3 linked regions of the Rattus norvegicus genome follow. The protein of the gene in region 1 interacts with the protein of each later gene in a pairwise test. Links are inferred from orthologs where the notes say so. Each region holds a gene or a part of one and is shown in the gene's direction. Other genes may lie near its edges.

Region 1 (3,373 bases):
TAGATGTAGGAAGCTAATAAAAGGTACTGCTTTCCTCCCTTGAGTTGGAAACACAGAAATAGATCAGAATCAGATAGATTGGAAGAAGCACTGGCTCTAGCACTGGTAGGGAGGAATCGGTGGGTCATCAGATCTGTGGCCACCATAGAGTTTAGACTGCTTCTCCCTAAATCACAGGCTGCCTTGTGAATGAGTGTAGATTTCTTCCTGAAGAAAGGGGAGACTCTGAAGGCAGATCCAGTGGAGGAATCTGCTGGTACCAGCTTTAGGGTATCAGGTATAGGTAACAGGGGTATTAGCTCCCATAGAGGGAAACAGATGTTGCCTGATACTCTTCACCCCCATCTTTGAGTCTCTAATATTCTTTCTCTGGCTTTAATTTAAACCAGAATGATCAAAATGTGTAGATGAACATCATTACACAATACTACTTCCTGTCTTCCTCAGGACTTCAGACAAGTATGAAGCAGCTCTCTGGGGAAGTTATGGAGCTGAAGCAACACGTGGCGCACTATGACAAGATCCAGGAGCTCACACAGATGCTTCAAGAGAGCCACAGGTCCCTGCCTGAGTGGGTCACGGGGGGAGGCTGAGACACAGGGTGGGAGGCACTAAGAAACACAGTATCTGTCAGGAGTTGGTGTTCAGGGCCCATAGGCATTGCCACATTGACTTTCAACATGAGTGAACATTCCCTTGGTAAAAAATGAGATATGATGATGACTGTAAGGAATGTACTCTGAGGTACACCTGAAAAGTGTTTAACCTGAGACCCAGGAGCAACCCAAGACATGTATGAGCCAGGGAGTATGGACTAGAATCTGAGGGGTGAGTACATGTTAGAGCTGGTGAAGTCTGGTCCAGTGTTCTGCTCCCCTGGGCCATGTGCTTTCCACTATAGCATGTGCTTTCCCATCACTGGAGGTCATGGTTGTTCACTTACAAACATGGACATCATCTTTCTACTTGTTGCTGTATGAGTAGTGAAAGGGGGAGTAGGAATGTTAACATGGGCAAGGCAGACCCTGGCTGTATTGAGGAAGCGTCTTCTGGGAAGGAGGCAAGTGCCTGAGAGAGAGCAGGTCATCGGAGCAGCTGTTGTTCCTGGAGCCTCCTCTGAGGAGGGCTCATTGTCGTCACTACTCTTCCCCGACCCTCCCTTCTTCCTTGTAACTCCTGTTGTTAATGGTCTCCTTACAAGGTGACCACATGTAAGGGTCTTCATGTTGGGTCAGACAGAGCCAAGCTTTCCCTTTTAAGTCTTGGCAGGCCCGAGTTACAGAGTTGGGGGTAAAGGCTTTGGGCACAGAAGACTGCTAAGACAAAGTAGGGAGGAATGGATGGAAGGAAGGAACCTGGGCTGCTAATTCAGAGCAGTGACAGGCAAAGGAATACACTCCTGGATTCCAGCAGGCCCAGTGCAGACAGAGATGCAGAGGTCTGGAGACAGTGCCACCAGGCTTTTGCTCACGCATGTGCATGCTGGTGTTAGCAGCCATTTCTGTGATTTCAACAAACAAGGTCAGCACGCACATACAGATTTATTCAATGGGATGGCCATCTTCAAAGATGGCAGAAGTTAGTGTTGCCTTGCTTCATCTGAACTTGAGATGCTATTCATTATGGCCACCTTGGGGACGAAGCAGTAGTGAGAACTTGTGGGAAACACACTAGTGTTTCTGAATCCAGCTCTGTGCTGTGCTATGGCCATGTCCCAGTTAACTGTGTGTGACTAGGAATCAGAAACACTGCAGTATTGGGTCTTTACAGTGGGAATATGGTTTTACTAGCCATAAAGATTCTCATCGTCTTGCCATAGAACTGTGGTGTGTTAGGAAGGCATCACCATTCACTTCTTCAGCTTATTCCCAAGCTCAACTCACAGTGACCAGCAGTGCCTTTGGGAAGGCTTGCTGAAGCCAAGGGCTCTGGCCGTGTCCATGTATGGTATGGAAGGTCATATAGAGTGACAGTAGCCAGTAGGAAGAAGATAATGGGGCCAGGGACAAGTGGTCACCTTGGCACTGCTACAGTTGGGAGCACCTGGCCAGGGCATGGGCGAGATATTTGTTTCTATGCTGGTGGACTTCAGCCAGTCTGTGGCAGTTGGGACACAGCAGTTACTTTCCTTTCATCCTCCAGCTCTCTGGTCAGCACCAATGAGCATCTCCTGCAGGAGCTGAGCCGTGCACGGGCACAGCACAGAGCTGAGGTCGAGCAGATGCACTGGAGCTTCCAGGAGCTCAAGAAGACTACGGCCCTGGCCCCACACCGTAGCTCCCGCCTTGGTGGCCGGCAGTCCTGCTAGCTGCTAGTGAGCTGTACTCCAGGGTTGTACCTGGGCATGTATCTGTCTGAATACCCTCCTGAGACTGTAATTACCTTAGGAACCTCAAAATGTATTCGTAAGCTCAGCTTGCTTATGTGTCCTAAATTGACGTAACCGCCCTGGGGCTTCTTCACGTTTGGGAAGTTTTCATTACACATCCTGCGTAAGGTACCTGTAGTTTTTTTTTTCTTCCCAATGTGGGAAAATTCGTATAATTAAAATGTTTTCATGTGACAAACATTCCTTACTTAAAGAAATAATATATTGCTATGTTTAAAAGTTAACCCGTAGATGGCTCTTTATAAATTATAACTGACTTCCTTATTGAATTCTTCTATAAAACAAGTTGTACAAAGTGAGAAGGAAGAAATAAGTTCCAAGTTGAAATAAAAAGTAAACTTAGAGATGTGACAAACATTTTAAAAACTTGTATGATGTTAACGTGTCATAGTAAAACAAATAAAAAACCTCCCCACTTGTGCCTCAACCTTTTGCTTTCAATAATTCCTGCAAATAAACAGACTGTGGACCTGAAACCCAGGGGAAGATTTAAAAACACACTGTACAGAGTGGATCCCAGATGACTAACCGCGTAAAAGGTGCTCAGGAGAAGAGGCAGACTCAGTCACCAGTACAGTACTATCCAGAGGGAAGCCCATGCAGAGAGATGGCTCGTACACACCAATGTTGCCGAGTACTGCACTCTGGAGACAGCTCAGAATTGCCTAGTGGACCTTGTCAGAAAGGCTCTCCTGCCCTCCACTCCTGCAGCGACTCCCAAGTCAATTTTGTGTGCAAGGCAGGAGTGAGTTTCAAGCCTCAACTTTGAGGCTTTGAGGGCTCTGCTGTGTTCTGTGGCTCCCAAGTCAGGAGCCGTACAGCCAGCGGTCTGTTTCTGTTTCAGTTTTTGTACATCATGTATGTCTATGAGTTAATTTATATTGCCTAAATTTTCAGATTATTTTGGTACTGATAATCTTTTGTTAGTGTTTTAATACCTTCGGGATTTGAAGTTGTATCGCTGTGTAGACTTGCTGACACATG
Region 2 (4,448 bases), on another chromosome or scaffold:
TATCCCACTCGCATTTGATTCTGAATTTACTTTATTTTTCCCCAAAATCACTACCTCCCCTTTCCTCAAAATTGCCACTAAACCAATTAATACAAATTGCTTGGCTCTCCGTATCCATATGTGCTTGACCGTTTAGAGTGATACCATTTCATATTCCTCAAATCCCATGGGAAGCAAAGGTTACCTGTAAAATCACGGGGAAGAAAGAAGCCAGAGGATACCAACGAGAACTGGTCCATCTCATTGAAGTCTCTCAATCACTGTGACATGTTCACACTAGAATTACTCCTAATCCTGGGCCAGTGACATAGGCTTTAATAACGATGAGTTGGAGTTCATAAATGGAGTATTAATACCCATGGTCCAAGAAAAAAATTCATCAGGATCTTGAAGCTAGTCTTACTCTAAAATGAATAAGTACAGTGGAGAAAGAGAGAGACAGAGACAGAGACAGAGACAGAGACAGAGAGAGAGACCAATGCTGTCTTATCTCAAATCAACTAGTGGTATTCAGCCTCTAAACAGCGTCATCTGGAGCTGGGTGTGGTGCCTAAAGCCTGTAATGCCAGCACCCTGGAAGCTGAGGCAGAAGGTTTCAAGCATTCTAGGCCAGGGGCTCCATGGCACAGGGCTTGGTCAGCATCCACGAGCCCCTTGATCCAATCATCAGCACAAAGGAAAAAGAAGAGAGGGAGGGGCGGGAGGAGGAATCCCAGGACACTCAACATCCTGCTACATACTGTTTTAAAATAATTCAGGCAGGCACTCTAATCCCAGCAGGTGGGAAGCAAAAATCTGTGAGTTCAAGGCTCACCTGATCCATGTAGAAAGTTCAAGGGCAGATCTACATGGAGAGACCCTGTCTCAAACATCAATAAACTGTCTTTGGAATTATGGAGACTAAATATTCTCTGCATTTGGAAAATGGTTTTAGTTCTATGTATAAACACTTGTAAATAAAGTTTGACTTTTACTAAAGAATGTTCTCATAAATTATTCTGAACTCTGACATAATCTAGTTCCCCGAATCTGCACTATTCCGGGAATATTATTTTCTGAATCCAAAACTATCATCTAGCCTTTCCCTCGTTTACAGATGGAGAAACAAAATCTGAAGAAATGTTAGTTCCTGTAGGTCAGCCAGAGTGAAAAGTAGAAACTTTCATCTCTATTTAATTTAAATCCTAAAATCAAAACTGGACATGGGATCAGCAAAACTGGTTTGGACTTCGATAGGTTTACTTACTTACACCAGGGAAACCTGTGAGGACCGCGGTGAGTGCCTGCCGATTGGTAAAAGTTGAGGATTCTTTAGTTCTTACCCTCCACTTAAGGAGATGGGCTGGAGATGAGGAGTGGGTAACAACGCTTGAACTCCTCCGCGCTAGAGGGCGCCAGAACCTCTATTTTAGTTGCGCGAAGCTGAGGCTTCACCAACCGGAAGTTCTTTGCCCTTAGCAAAGATGGCGTCCGATAGCCTACACCAATCAGGTTGCTCTACTGAGAAGCGGCGCTTCCTCCCTCCCGGCCAAGGATCTGTGCGGTCCGAGAGTTCCGGTGGGCCAATCAGAGCGTCCTCCACACACGAACGCGTCGACGTCAGAGGTGGGAGGAGCCCAGTTGTAATTTTTGGCGGGATCCGGTGTGGACCGGCAAGAGAACCAACCGTGTCTTAGGTGAGCTTTGCGGCCTTTGTGTGTGTCGGGGACTCTGGGCGTCCGCGCAGGGACTGGGGTCTGAGGGAGAGGCGCGAAGCTCTGAGGGGAAGAGGCGCCGGAATCTTGATCGAGCGAAGCAGGCGACCTTCGGCCGAGGCTGGAACGGGCAAGGCGCCGGCCGGGGCTGGAAGATTGGGAGCTCGTGTGCATAAGGAGCCTGTTTTGGTTTATTTTCTTTTTTTAAGAGCGCCCTTTTACTTCTGTTTTTTAAAAGTTTGTCTCTCACAGTTTCATGTACGCACATGTAAATATGGCAATTCAACCCTGTTAGCTTCCCTTTTCTCTAAACCCCTTCCTCACCGGTGATACGTACCCTGTTACTTTCATGTTTCTTTTATCTTGTTTAAATAACCCACTGAAAGCAGTTAGAGTTGCCTGCATAAAGAGCACCCTTTTAAAATGCTCGCCCTCACTGACTCCTCTCTCCCTGGGGGATGGCGGCATACGCCTTAACAACCTCAGTTTCAGTGTGCTTGTGTACGCCGATGTAGCAGAGCAGTGAGTTTAGAAGAACATGTAAAGAAGTGTGCAGTAAGCACGCATTAAATACTAACAGAACAGCCCTTTTCCAGATCATTCTCAGAACAGAACAGTTTAAACACAGTTGCCTGACACACACAGTTTATATCTGAGGAAACAGTAAAGCAAGGCAGAAGGTCATATCCAGACTCGGGGTACACCAAAGACAGCGTTCAGCCTGTCCTTCCGCCAGATTGGGTCTGACATCCAACAAGAACAAATGTGTCTTATAAATTAAATGCTAATGTTGGTCGAAGGAGGCTGGAAATCAGGTCCAAAAAACAATCCAGGGAGCAAACTATACTTGAGGTAAAAGGCCTTCTGCCTCCCCTACCCCCACACACACCCTGGAGCCTCTCTCACAGTTCACTGTTTGGCACGATGGCCAGGGTTCTGATAACCTGCTTCTGCCTCCCCGGTACTACGATTCAAGGCGTTTGATACCCTACCCAGCTCCAATGTTATCTTTCTATCTTAATTTTTCTGGTCCTCTATGCTTTGCCAAGTAGTGTGGAAGTACAAATCCTAACTTATGGTAGAGCTATGCATCTCACACTAAGCTTCAACAGATAAAGTAGTCTTCAAATGCATTAGAACAGTAAAACAGGACAATAACCCTCAATTTTACCACAGCCCGAATAGCTCCTGTTCACACTGAGTCTGTAGTCTGCCCCACACCCTGTACTGCACGGCAGTTTGGTCTCTAACCCCAGTTTGAAGCCAGGTAGAAGAGCTTATGTGAGAGGAGGGGATGCTCCTGGGCTGTTGGTAATGGGAGAGGGCAGGAGACATGCTGGGTGCCGGGTCCTGGGCGAATCCTAAGGGTGGTGTCCCGGAATCGCTGGGACATGGTTTGTTGGATGTGCCCTGTGAGAAGAGTCAGTGACTTCTCGAATGTTGATTTTTCTGCAGCCCAGAACCTTTGTTGCGTATCTCCTGGACCAGCTACCTGATCCTTCCTTACCCTTCCACGGCTCAGCCATTATCTTGAAAACATGAATGGTAAGGCCGTCTAGTTTTATGGCTTCCTCTTTGCTGTGTGGAAAACTAGCACACCGTCCTTCACTCTAGCACAAAGCAGCCGGGAGCCAGGGCTGCTTAGTAACTGATGTCTAACTGTCAGACCGGGAAATTGAACTGGGCTGTCTGACTCCAGAGTTACGTTGCATGTGGAAATCTTTTGAAATGGTTTTAGTCTAGATCCGATTTAAATTCTGGTGGTCCTTTCTTTGGAGTTTTGCTTGTTTGTTTGTTTTTTTTCTTCAGGAATTTGTGCAAAGAAAAATCCCAGTGGAAAAATACTGCTCTGTCGAGTACAGCTCAGTTGGAGCAACAGAGTGTTTGTTCCACGGGCCCTGAACAGCGGACTGCATGGCGGGTGGGGGAGTTGTTGTTCTCTTTGGTGACATAAATGAGCTCGTCGCCAGAAACTATTACTTTCCCCCGGGTTTTTTAGATTTTGTCTTCTTCAAGAAAAGTGAAGGCAAACATTGAAATTAATAACACTGTGTGGAGTGCGGTGGCTTAGCTCTTTAATCTCAACACTCAGGAGTCAAAGGCAGGTAAATCTCTGAGTTCAGCCTCATAGTACTGGGATACATGAGATTGAGTCTCAAAAAAGAAAAAGAAACTATGTTCTGATTTGGGTTAATTTTATCTATAACATGAAATTACCAGTGAAATAAAGTGTTGTTTAATGATTAAAGGTCAAATAAAGGCAAATATGACAGAAAAGTTAATGATAACTAATTCTGGGTGACGAATGTTTACGTATCTTTCTCCATTTAAAAGTAACAGTGGGCCAGGCTGTGTGACACCCGCCTTAAATGTCAGAACTAGGGAGGCAGAGGCAGGAGGATCTCTTGAGTTTGAGGCCAGCCTGGTCTAGAGAGTGAGTTCCAAGTCAGCTACAGCAAAACCCTGACGAAAATAAATAAATAAAGTAAAAATAACAAAAAGTAAAACGGTAGGCAAGGTCTTTATCTATGTTAAAGCGTTTTTTACTTATTCCTTACTGGCCAGATCTCAGGAAACTTGGTAGTGTCAGAAGCTAGCTCGTTAAAGCAGTGCAGGGGAAAAGGTCCGGCCTGGTCCTGGCCCACTCTTTCTTTACTCTCCTCGGTGTCTTCTAAGAGGCGCTCTGGCAGGACAGTAGGTCCGAGAGAAGCAGGCAGAGTGGCAAATCTGGAGGCTCCTTTCAGTTGCCCTGTG
Region 3 (4,083 bases), on another chromosome or scaffold:
AGCACATATGGATACAAATTCAAAAGCCATTCATCTTAAGTAAAAGCCCCGAGTTAGCTGTCGACTCTGAAATTGATTGTCTGATACTCTATAAGCAGATACTTTACCAACTCCATTTCCCAGAAGATGGAAACTGAGCCCAAGAGCTTCTTCAAGGTCACAGGACTAATAGAACGGGTTTTAAAGCAGGCCATGTGCTTCCAGAATCCAACCTTTAAATTGCATGATATGTGCTGTCATACAAAGTTTGAGGCTGGAGGTGGTAGCACATGTCTTTAGCCCCAGCAGCTGGGAGACAGAGGTAGGCAAATCTCTGCGAGTTCAAGGACAGTCAGGGATACACACAGAGAAACCCTGTATTGAAAGAAAAAAGGAAGGAAAAGAGAGAGGTAAGGAGGGAGGAAGGGAAGAAAAAAAGAAAAGAATTTTGGAAAATAAAGAGACATGAATGACTATATAGATGGACACCAGTGGTCACATGCTATGCTGCTGAACATTATTAATGGCTTATCTTTTAAGTGTATATACTATGTACTACAGGATATATAACTTTAAAAATCACATTCTACACCTTGGTCTATAATCTTCCCTAAGGCTATTTCTGTATACACAGTTTATAATCATTATTTTAAAATTAATTTAGGCTGCTTCCAATGTTTCTCCATGACAGACTTCTGCCACAGGCAATGGGATGATAGGCTTAAAAAAATTCCATCTTTTATACCCCATCAACTACTGCTGTGAAAATATAAATAAATGGCTAAATAAATAAATAAGAAAAGCCACTAGGGAGTGCAGTTCTGTGTCAGTCCGTGAAAGGACAGGAGAAGAAGGCCATTATCTAAGGTCCTTCTGCTATCCCTTTGTCTAGCATCCCCAAGGTATTAGCAAAAACCCACGCCAAGGAACTGCAGTGGCCTGAGGCTAGCACTGCGCATGCACAAAAAGTGGGCGGGGGTGAAAGAGAGCATAGAACGGGTGCATATGAGGGCAAGTGAAAGCCTTGAGGAACAGAACAGAGGCGGGGCTTTTTTGTCTCTGGGCAACCTTTGTTCCCGCCTCTCCTTAGGGCTTCGGCTTCTTATTGGTCAAACATCTTTAGTTCCTATAGGTCAAAGAACCAATGAACTGGGTCTGTCCCAAGTTATGCCTGATTCCGGAACCGCAGCAGAAATAGTTGATTGTGAAGCTGCTTTCAGGCATTGCTTTGGACATATCTATGGGGCCTGAAGGGGCCTTTTTCTAGCACCGGAACAACTGCCGGAGAGTTCAACGGCAAGCTTAAGAGATGCCGCCGAAGGGGAAAAGTGGTTCTGGAAAAGGAGGGAAAGGTAGACCGGCCGAGACAGTCAGAGAGCTTAGGGGTGAATGAGGAGAAGGGCAGGGGTAGGCCGGCAGGGTGAGGAAAAGGGCAGGGGTAGGCCGGCAGCTGTGGGGGGGGGGGGCCGCGGGGGGGGTGGTGTTATAAGTTGGCCAACAAGGTAACCAAGAGCACCGTGAGCCGCTACGATTTATGTTCGGGGTTCTTTTAGTAAGTCAGAAAAGTGCTGTGATTCAGGGTACCCATGAGGTTTCAGTGCAGGGACCATCGTGGCGGGATAGAAGCTACTAGGGATGGTTCCTCGCGACCTGGAACTGCTCTTTTAAGGGTTTATTACCACTAAAATTGAATCTGATGAAACGCCAGCATTATTAACAACTAGTATTATGACATACCCCTTTCCCTTAGGAGGGAGTCACTTTTTGAAGACAGGTGTAGGGCACATGGCTGTGTTTTCAGGCTAGAAAAGTAAGACAACTCTTAGTCGTTCCTGGACGAAGTGGGGAAGATAGTACTGTGCTGAATGTAGTTCTAGGAGGTATATTATAGAAGGTGGAAAGAGGGTAAAGAATCAAACTGGAGATACTGCTGAAATAAGCAGCAGCAATAGGATAAAACATACTTGACCCGGAGTGTCCAGCCCCAGAAGCAGTTTGTATAATCTAGCATTACTGAAGTAAAAGTTCAAGACAAATAAGCCAGCAAGAGGAAGGTATTAAAGCAGAAGAAGACTAAATCATAGGGTGTGCTGTACATGATGTTAAGGTCGGTCACAGGCCAGGAGGTACTTTAGAGAGCATTTCAGTAGTTCTGGTAAAAAATAGCCTGAAGAAAGGTCGTGGTTGTAGGAACCCAGAGAAGAGACAAATAAAGGGAGTGTAGTAGAATGATGCCCCAGAGGCCCAAGGAACCAAGATGTTTTAAAGTATAAGAATGGGTGAGACACCACAAAGCCATGCCTCAGCAATGGTAGACTGAGGAGGATGTGAGTTTGAGGTCACCAGGAGTACATTGTCCTTTAGCTGGTCAGCTCCTGTTCATCAATCAAATATTGCCTGTTTAGCTAAAATACGTGTCCCTTCCACAACTTTTCACTTGTTGGATTCTCAGAAAGTGATCTGTCTTCCTCACTGGGATGTGAGCTCTTGGCTGTAGCTATGAATCCTATTCACCTTATACCTGAAGAACTGGAACTTGGGAATTATTGAGGAAACAATTGTTAAGCTAAATACTTAGTCTTAGACACCTTGGCTTCTAGCATTTAATATACTGCCTTTGACACAAAACTTAAGAGTAGTAAGATGTGCTACCAATGCTTGATAACCTGAATGTCACAAACTCTAGGAGGATATCGGTAGCCATTGTGGTAGACTGCAGGGGGAAATTATATATATATATATATATACACATATATGTGTGTGTGTGTGTGTATACACACATATATACATATATACACACATAGACATATACACACATTTATATATATACATATATACATATATACAATTTTAATATAATGATAAATATTTTAATATGATATATATGTATATATATATTCATTAGCAAGCACTCTACCCCTGAGATACAACCAAACCCCTTAAAATTCTTGGAGATTTTGAATGTTAGAGTTTCAAGTGTCACACACAGTCACAGAACATAATAAAAATTATGTGATTTTATATAATGGTAGATTTGGAATGGGGTCTGAAGAATCTGGACCAGGCTTCTGGAGCTCCTTCATCCATGCCCACACTCATTTCTTTATTTTCTGCAAAGTATTTTGTAGGGTACATTTCCTGTTATTAGAGATGAGTCATAGAGTAAGTTAACTTGATTGCATGACTCACCATGTAGCCTTTTGGAACTTGGGACTGTAATGGATGGATTACCTTGTGTTATGAGTTAGACCTATCTATAAATGTCAAAGTACAGTTGAAATGAGTTTGTATCCTCTCTTTTCTAAAGGAGGTGCAGCCTCTGGGAGCGATAGTGCTGACAAGAAGTCTCAGGGTCCTAAAGGTGGTGGCAATGCAGTAAAGGTGAGTTATCTCATGTGTTAACTTTTTTCTATGTAAAGAATTGAGGTGTGTGTATGTGTGTGTGTGCATGTGTGTGTGTGCATGTATGTGTGTATGTGTGTCTGTGTGCATGTGTGTGCGTGCGAGTGGATGCGCGTGCACAGAAAAAGGAAGGATATAAAACTAGAAACCAAAATCCAGTCTTAGCTTTCAAAGGGTAGAATTTTCAAACTTCTAGCACTGTTCTTTTAAATGTGTTAACTTGTGGACTAGGGTTTTAGCTCAGTCAGTAAAGTGCTTGAGAAAGGACCTAAGTCTAATTGGTGAGTTTTAATCCAGTGAAAGACCTTATCTCAAAATAAAAAAAGGGGGATGGCACGTTAGAAGGGAATTATCTCCTGCCCTCCAGATGCACATGTTCACAAATTTGTTACTTTGACCATGGGTGGGAGATAGTCCCCAAATAATTACCTGAAGCACTTAATCACCCTATCCCAGAGCACTGTCGGCAAACAGAACTGTACTAGTATGGCTATGTAACAAGGAGTTTCCATGTTTGGATCAAGATACAGGAGGTAAAAAAATTAGATTTCATTGCCTCTGCCTATAAATTCAACCATACACATGTAACATAAAAGGAAGAGAGAAAGATGGGGATAAAATGTGATCTGGGCTGTTCTACTCAATACACCTATGCCTCAGAGATAGTGGAGATGAAGTGGTTATTATTATAGTCTGGGATGG

What was found.
Region 2: the proteins of Cep72 (region 1) and Mcm10 interact in a two-hybrid assay, tested with the Homo sapiens proteins (2 studies listed by BioGRID and IntAct). The two-hybrid records come from large-scale screens. The link is inferred for Rattus norvegicus from reciprocal best matches to the Homo sapiens genes CEP72 and MCM10.
Region 3: the proteins of Cep72 (region 1) and Pin4 interact in binary tests that used the Homo sapiens proteins (3 or more experiments, as listed by UniProt). The two-hybrid records come from large-scale screens. The link is inferred for Rattus norvegicus from reciprocal best matches to the Homo sapiens genes CEP72 and PIN4.

The regions. Positions count from the first base shown.
Region 1 is NC_086019.1:31,081,048-31,084,420, forward strand, and holds the end of Cep72 (centrosomal protein of 72 kDa), read left to right. Parts: intron 1-447; coding exon 448-559; intron 560-2,142; coding exon 2,143-2,308; 3' UTR 2,309-2,816; downstream 2,817-3,373. UniProt on the Homo sapiens protein: Involved in the recruitment of key centrosomal proteins to the centrosome.
Region 2 is NC_086035.1:78,173,754-78,178,201, forward strand, and holds the start of Mcm10 (protein MCM10 homolog), read left to right. Parts: upstream 1-1,633; 5' UTR 1,634-1,676; intron 1,677-3,149; 5' UTR 3,150-3,232; coding exon 3,233-3,239; intron 3,240-4,448. UniProt on the Homo sapiens protein: Acts as a replication initiation factor that brings together the MCM2-7 helicase and the DNA polymerase alpha/primase complex in order to initiate DNA replication. Additionally, plays a role in preventing DNA damage during replication.
Region 3 is NC_086039.1:71,270,799-71,274,881, forward strand, and holds the start of Pin4 (peptidyl-prolyl cis-trans isomerase NIMA-interacting 4), read left to right. Parts: upstream 1-1,235; 5' UTR 1,236-1,288; coding exon 1,289-1,331; coding exon of another isoform or gene 1,332-1,364; intron 1,365-3,286; coding exon 3,287-3,360; intron 3,361-4,083.